Canis lupus familiaris: one gene and its partner. The protein of the gene in region 2 interacts with the protein of the main gene of each other region in a biochemical or structural test. Links are inferred from orthologs where the notes say so. Each region holds a gene or a part of one and is shown on either strand. Other genes may lie near its edges.

Region 1 (4,273 bases), on a different chromosome or scaffold from region 2:
TTATTGGCTTGGTTTCCAATCTGCACCTGGGCCTCGTGAGTTAAGCAGGAACAGTTCTGTGTTGCCACCAAAACCCAACCTGCAGTTCCCCTGCCCACCCCCCCCCCACCCCCACCGAGTTCTCTCCCTGTTTCCTGTTTGTGAACAAACCCTGTGGCCCAGCCCAGTCTAATCAAAGGCAGTGGGAGGAAAGACAGCCACTACCCTAACCCCAAAGCCATAGTCCCTGAGCCCAGTTTGGGGATGCCCAGCTGTCCCCACTATTGCCTGGCAGCTGCTCTTCCTGCTGGGGCTCTAACAGCTGGATGGGAACAGCTGTGATCCGGGAGATACTACTCACGCCCCACAACCGAGGGGTAAGGATCTGTCCTGAGCAGAAGGCCCTCTCCATTCTCTCTCACAAAGGGCCTGGAACAGGGGTTGGCCAGAAGGGTTAAGTGTCACTGAAGGCAGAGGTTGCTGAGAGGGCAGCCAAGGGCTGAACCAACCTGCAGCAACTGTTTTGTTTGGACTACAGTGAATTAAAAGTTTTGAACTGGTTGGAGCATAACTTAAAATAGTGATATTTCACAGAAAAAAACAAACAAAACATGTGTAAAGGCAAAAGAAAAACAGGACACACACCAGGCCTATATCCCATAGGCCAAGAGCTGGCTGAAGTATCCACTGCTCCCAGTAGCGACTGTCCCCACTACCTGGCCCTGAGCCCACACTCAGCTGCTCCTTTGGGACCAGGCCCTTCTCTGAGACAGGAAGCAGAATCTCAGGACTTGAGATCAACGAGTCCCCCCCCACCCCCCAACACCACACAGATTAGAAGGGTCTGTCCACTCTCCCAGACTTCCCCAGTGGGTTTATGCTGGAACCAAGATTCCCAAAGGCAGGGGCCAACTCCTTGGTAGTGGGGATCTCTTTTCTCTACTCACGTCTGCTCTGCCATCTGGGGATCCATGGGGCTGGGGGAATCCATACAGAGACCTGGGGGGACAGAGCACTTTGGTCTAAAAGTGGTGGCATCTTCTGCACATATTCCCCCACCATGTCCCAACTCTATTCAGAAAAGGGAGAAACCAGTTTCTATTTTAGATCTTGACACACTTAAAAATAGTGAAACAGAAACCCATGCATGAACCTCAAGGGCTGACACACTGCCCCTGAAATCGTGCAAGGCTCCACTCCCTGTTTACTAGGGAAACTCCTCGGTATAGGTTTTAAACCAAAACTTTGCTAAGCATTTTACTTGAACTGGTTTAAAGCAATATGTTTTAGAAGAGATAACAGCTTTTTTAAAGGAAAAGGTTACAGCTGAAGGCAAGTGAACGCTATAAAATGACCAACTTTCAGCCCTGATGCCTCCCAGGTGGGGCTGTGGTTCAGGGACTTTGGCGCCTGGTTTTAAATAGGTAAGATCTCATCTCCCCCAGAGGGCCCCACCCTACTGCCCGCTCAGCCAGTCTGGGCTGGGTGTGGTGAGCCCCAACAGGGGTGAGCAGGTGGAGGCTCCTGCACCCACCAGGTTGTAGGGGAAATGTTAGTCTGATCAGCAAGGAAGTGGAGAGACTCAGGCAGCCCCCCTAAGTCCCCTGGCACCCCTGAGCCTCACCTGCATCAGAAGATTCAGAAGACTCAGACGACAGGGAGGATTCAGATGCCCGCCTCCGGGACAGGGATAGGCTTGTGAGCAGGCTGCCCACCTGCCGCTTTGGGGTCTCACTGAGAAGGCAACAGGGACCCAGGGAAGGAGGAAGGTAAACTGGGGCTTGAGGGCTGGCTGGCCTATGTGCCCACCACCCACCTACCTCTGAAGGGCCCACCATTGCCCCAGGGAGGCAATGGCCCTGAGGGTCTTGCCCTCTTTTCAGGCCTTCTGCAGAGGCCCTAAGTAGCTTTTCTTTATTAAGAAAGGTCCTCTTGGGTTCCTCAGGAGGTGAGCCCGGGGCAAGAGCAAGTAGGTAGGTTGAGGGCCATTCTGGGGGATGGCAGCAGAGTAGCCCCTTCCCGGAACCCCTCAGACCCCTACTCATCCACAAGCCTTTCTGGAGCAAGGGCAAGACTTAGCTCTCCACTGCTGCTGAGGGCAACCCAGCCTGGACACTGCAGGTTGCTCAGGAAGCAGGATCAGTGTTTAACCCTTAACCTCCAGAAAGAACTGGGGGTGGAGGGAGCAGGGGCACAGACAGGAGGACATAAGAGAACCAGGCTCCTCTGCCACCCTCAACTTCCCACTCCAGGCTCAGGATCCACTATCTGGGGCAAAATAGTGGTGGTTAGGGCAGAGATTAGAGAGACAGCATGGTGGAGGCACATGAGGGTGTGTGTGGGGGTGGTAGGTGGGACGGGTGTCTCCAGAGGCTCGCGCTGCCAGGAGCAAGCCACCTGGAGGGTGTGGGCAGCACAGACCCGGCCTCATCGCCCTAGTCCCAGATCCCTGAACCAGTCACTCCCCAGGACACCTCCCCACTCCGCTTCTCAGATTCGGCTCCCACGCGGGGGTCCACAGGAGGCCAGGGACCAACACCCTAGTGCCGGCCTCACCCCACACCCAGCGTCGGTGGGGCGCCCTACCTGCCGAGCCCCGCGAGGTTGTGCATGGTCTGGGTGAGGGTGGTGACCGGCGAGGAAGCGGCCGCGCGCTCCGGGGACCCCACGAGGCCGTGAGCTCCCGTCTGGAGGCCCAGGAGGTGGCGGGGACGCTCGGCTCCACGGCCCAGGCAGACCGGACTGAGAGCCGGAGCGGGCGCGGGCTCCGGCTGGGGCAGCTCCATCGCGGCGGGGCCCGCAGGAGGCAGGCGGGAGGGCCGGGCGCGGGGCGACGCGGGGCACAGCTGCCCGGGACGAGGTGGGGAGCAGGCCCGGGGGGGGGGGGGAGAGCCTCGGGGCCGGAGCGAGGGAGGAGGGAGGAGAGGGAAGCGGGGAGGGTGGGGCGGGGTGGAGGGACGCGGGGACCGACCGCCCGTCCGGGAAGCCTCTCGGCAGCAGCTGCCACCTCCACCTCCTTATATATTCGAAAAATAACAGCGGCCGCGCCGCCGGACGCCGCCAATGGGGGCGCGGGGTAGGGGAGGGCGGGGCCGAGGGCGGGGCCGGGGGTGGAAGGCGCGGAGGCTGACCAGCCCGGCCCAGCCCAGTTCCCGGCTTCGGGTGCGGCTAAGGAATTGGGGAACCTCTGAAGCCTCCACGCACCGTCCTGTCGCTCCCCCAGCCAGGACTCGAGGATCCTGGCTTCCCAAATTCTGCCTCTCGGGACGTGGTCTGGAGTTACCCTCGGTGCAGAAAGTCCCTGGGGAAGCCACACCTGCTGGGGTGGCCTCAGAGGGACCTCTCCCCCCACCCCCCGAGATTTAACACCACCTACAGTCTCACCGCCAGGCACCGTGAGAGGCTCCACTCCGCGGCTTCACCGTGCGGTCAGTGTTCGCCACTCCACTTTATCATCCACTCGGATGTTGAGGCGTGAAGAAGTTCATTAACTCGTTCAAGGTCACCCAAGGCAAGTGATAGAGCAAAAATTCACCCCCGGCGCTCCTGCAGCTGGCAGCGCGCTGTGTCCGTGAAGCGTCAGTAGCCAGCGGGGCCTCCCCACACACCCGGCACTGGAGGTAGACCCGAGGTGGGGACCTACGTGTAACTCATGGGGCCCCGGGTTACAGATGACCCCAGGGGGTCTTGTTTTCTCCAGCAGTCTCAGTGGAGGCTCTAATGGCTGAGGTTTTGGCGACGGGGGCCAAAGAAAGTGTTCCAACCTCAGAACCAAGTTATGGAAATAATCTCATGCCCACTGACGGTTTGGCTAATGTGATGTCGAGGGCATCACATTGTTTAATTGGTATTTCTTTGATGACCAAGGAAACGGAATCTGTCACTAGTTTAAAATGAGCATCTTATAACTGATGACTTTTCAGCAATCCTGCTTTCCTGGAATGAGCCCTGGAAGGCTACAGTAAAAAGTGAATTAGCAGTAAGTGCTTCTGCATCTCATCTCCCCAGCAAGGAGATGGCCTCTGGCTGGGTGGAACACAGCTCAGGAAAGCAGGAACTGAGGCTTTGCTTCCCTTCTCTGCAGCCTCATCCCTCTGGTTCCACGGGCAGTGGGTGGGAGTGGCAGAAGGGAAGGCCTGGCCTGTGTGGGGCTGAGTGGGCTAGGGGACTTGTGGAAGAAGGGGATACAAAGACCCCAGTCCTATGTAAGAGGGGTAGGATGGTGCAGATCATGACTTTTCCTTCACCCAACATTTTTCTCAGCTTCTGTGATGTGTCAGGTGCTATGCTTCAT
Region 2 (3,475 bases):
CAGGCAAGCTCTGGGTTATTAAGGATCTCGTAGTAAAATACAGAAAAGTTAAGAGCCAGCCCCAGGCGAATGGGGTGTGTAGGTTGCATCTCTTTCTTGCTTATATCAAAAGCCTCTTGGTAAGCTCCTTGGGAATTATCTATCGTTTCTGTGAGGGGGGGGGAGAGACAAAAGAAGCACAATACTGAAAATATCCATCAAGTATACAGCATATTAACCTTTAACTTATGCTACTACCTCATGCAGAGCTGGATTTTTCTCTGTGGCCTTCCTTTAAAACCATAGTAGCAAACTGAAAACATTACCTCATACCAGCTTATGGAGAAACTAGTTTATAATGTTGCTTTTTTTATTTTTTTAAAGATTTTATTTATTTATTCATGAGAGACAGAGAAAGAGGCAGACACACAGGAAGAAGGAGAAGCAGGCTCCCTGCAGGGAGCCCAATGTGGGACTTGATCCCTGGACCCAGGATCACGCCCTGAGCTGAAGGCAGATGCTCAACTGCTGAGCTACCCAGGCGTCCCATGTTGCTTGCTTATAATCAGCTTTAAAAAACCCAATATGAGATAGTGCAATTGGATTTTTCCAGATCTGTGACTCAAACAATTTTCTTTTTCCGTATCTTTTAATTTTACTAATTGGAAATGCAGCAATTAAAAATAATTTCACCGATACACGTCAATAATACTTCAATAAAGCTAGAAAAAATTTTTGGCTATCTCTTCTCAAAATCATGAAAACACTTTACAAAGATCATACCACCAAAATCTCTTTTTTTGTGACTTATTTGTAAAAACAATACTAATCCTTGGTATCAAGATGTATTATGTAAAAGGCAATATAAAAGTGTCAAAATACAAAATAAAATCTGCTCTGACAAGAGATTGATTACTGGCCTAATAAAAAGGTTACCTTCCTGAAAAAAGCTGTTCAGTGATTGTTACCAATTCTAATCTGACTATAGCCATGCTTTCAAAAGAGTAGGTAGGTTTTCTCAATGAGACCACTGGCCCATTACAGCTTTAGAAATACTCCTCTAATAGAAATGTAAAGTTAACCTTTTTATGGCCTGAATATAAGGATTTTTCCTTCTTCAGAAATGGCACACTTATTAATCTAAATATAGCTGGTAGAGCCCTCACATAGTAAGGAGTTCTTGCTGTTTGGCATTTAAGGAAGTACTGTAATGAGTAGCAGTAAGGGGTCTCAGCTCCTAAGCTGTAAATACAGACTATGAGTCCCAGTCTACCGGAGTATTCTATGGATAGGGATAGAAATGCCAGGAAGCTAGAAAGGGTTAAATAAGATTAATGCTGGGGCTATGTCCCAGTCTCCCAAAGATATCCTTGTGACTTGCAAATATCTGTTACTTTCAGCTTTGCTTATCTTTATGACAACAGAAATTATACATCAATAAGTTTAGTATACAAATTGTTACAGTAGGATGCAATAGTTTTCTCTTTGTATCTTCAATTACACTGATATTTGGGGTGGTAAAACTGTTCCACTTTCAGTTAGTACCTCTTTGAGGGTAGGAAGCCACAGTAACTACTTGAAAAAGTACACTCTTTTTGGATGGGGCAAAATTAAAAACAAATTAATAAACCTACCAGAAATAAGGAATTGGGTGAAAATTCTAACTAGAATTTGATAAATATGATAGCAGGCACATACACAAAATTTAATAGGACCTGACTTGTACTCAGCTACTAATACTCCAGGAGGCTAAGTCCACTAGTAATAAATTGCTTTGATTTTCTTTTTACAATCAACTCTAGCAATTCATTTATTCTCTTTCCCAGATCTATATTTTCTATGACAAACTATATACCAGCAAAACTCTCACTCACCTCTCTTCCTCAGAAATTTGGTCTTGTAAGTATTGGTAGTCAATGTAATGATCCTTCAAAATAGGTAGTTAATAAATTGTCAAACAGAAAAAGCATAACATGCTGTTTCTATATTCTCTTTGTAATTTCCAGTAAGTTTCAAGGTACGATGACACAAAAGGCCATGTAACAGCACAAACTCTCAAAGCATATGCAAATAACTAGGGGGCTAAAAAATATGCTTCACCAAACTCTAAAGTATAAAAGAGTAATAATAAGCCTCTCTTATTTTTTCTTTATTATTATTATTTTTCACACTGAGTGTGGAGCCCAGCATAGGACCTGAACTCACAACTGTAAAGATCCAGATCTGAGCTGAGATCAAGAGTAGGAAGCTGAATGACTGAGCCACCCAGGCGCCCAAGATTAAGCCTTTTAAATAATATCTTAGCAGATTATCACCAGAATTTGAGTTTAATTTTTCAAAAACAGTACATTATGTAAATTCATGGCTATTTTCATTTTTTAGAACATTAAGGTCACATTACATTAATTTTATCGTATGTAGATTCCAAGATTTTTTAAAAAGTTACAGAGGACCTGGAGATTACATAGCGACTACTGTCACAGTGTCCCACTTATCCTCCCTTCCTTTTTTAACTTTACCTATAAACCAAACATACTTACGTTTTCGATCATCACCACACGCAACTTCAGCAAGGTACCGAAAATAATCTCCCTTCATTTTCAGATAGAAGACCTTACTCTCTGGATTAGTTGCGTTGGCTATTAAATACTTATCCAACAATTCCTGAAAAGAAGGAAGATAAAGTATTAGGTACCAATAAAAAGCTATTTTATTACAGGTAAGCACAATGAAGGACTACCACAGTAACTACAACCATTCCACCTTGGACTTGAAGCATGGACTGAGAGCAGGGGTCATGTAGTTGTCATCAGTTGAATGCTTTGGCCTATAGCAAGTCATAGTTTCTAATAAAGCTAGGTTACATCAAACACTAAATATAAAGAGCTTGTCTATTCACTCATCCATTCATTCAAGTAAGCATTTCTTGGTACTGGCTGGGTGCCAGGCACTGTATTTGGCCAGAGGGGATATAAAGAAAACACAAAGTTCTTGCCCTCAAGGAGCTCACAGTCTTAAGTAAGATACAGAAACATTATCTTGTTTATCCTTTATCTAGGATAGTAGCACCACAGAGAGAGCATCTGGCTGTGCTAGAGGTGGCCACTAGCTAAACAGGATTTCCCTGAAGGGATATTTCTGACTTGTTAAGAAGGAACAGTAGGAATGTATCAGTTCAGAAATGTGCATGTGCAATCAGCTTTTTTTTAGTTTTACATGTTTGTGTGTTTGTGTGTGTATAAGTTATCTCTGCACTCAACGTGGGCCTCAAACTCATAACCCCCAAATCAAGAGTCACGTGCTCTACTGACTGAGCCAGCCAGGCACAATCATTTTAAAGAAGGGAAACAAAATGTTTAAGACATCAAGTATGAAGAATATAATCACAGAACAAGTAAGTCAGCATGGCTCAGAGCAGGGCTGGCTGTTCAGTGTCTCTTACAGACTACTGCTCATCCAAAATAAGGGTAAATACAGGGATCAAGAGAAAGTACTT

Evidence for each region. The genes of interacting proteins can lie anywhere in the genome.
Region 1: the proteins of YWHAQ (region 2) and CDC25B form a complex in vitro, tested with the Homo sapiens proteins (2 studies listed by BioGRID). The link is inferred for Canis lupus familiaris from reciprocal best matches to the Homo sapiens genes YWHAQ and CDC25B.

What each region holds. Positions count from the first base shown.
Region 1 is NC_049245.1:18,011,404-18,015,676, forward strand, and holds the start of CDC25B (M-phase inducer phosphatase 2), read right to left. Parts: upstream 2,801-4,273; 5' UTR 2,766-2,800; coding exon 2,566-2,765; intron 1,714-2,565; coding exon 1,604-1,713; intron 979-1,603; coding exon 927-978; intron 1-926. UniProt on the Homo sapiens protein: Tyrosine protein phosphatase which functions as a dosage-dependent inducer of mitotic progression. Directly dephosphorylates CDK1 and stimulates its kinase activity.
Region 2 is NC_049238.1:6,670,539-6,674,013, forward strand, and holds part of YWHAQ (14-3-3 protein theta), read right to left. Parts: intron 2,644-3,475; coding exon 2,520-2,643; intron 149-2,519; coding exon 1-148. UniProt on the Homo sapiens protein: Adapter protein implicated in the regulation of a large spectrum of both general and specialized signaling pathways. Binds to a large number of partners, usually by recognition of a phosphoserine or phosphothreonine motif.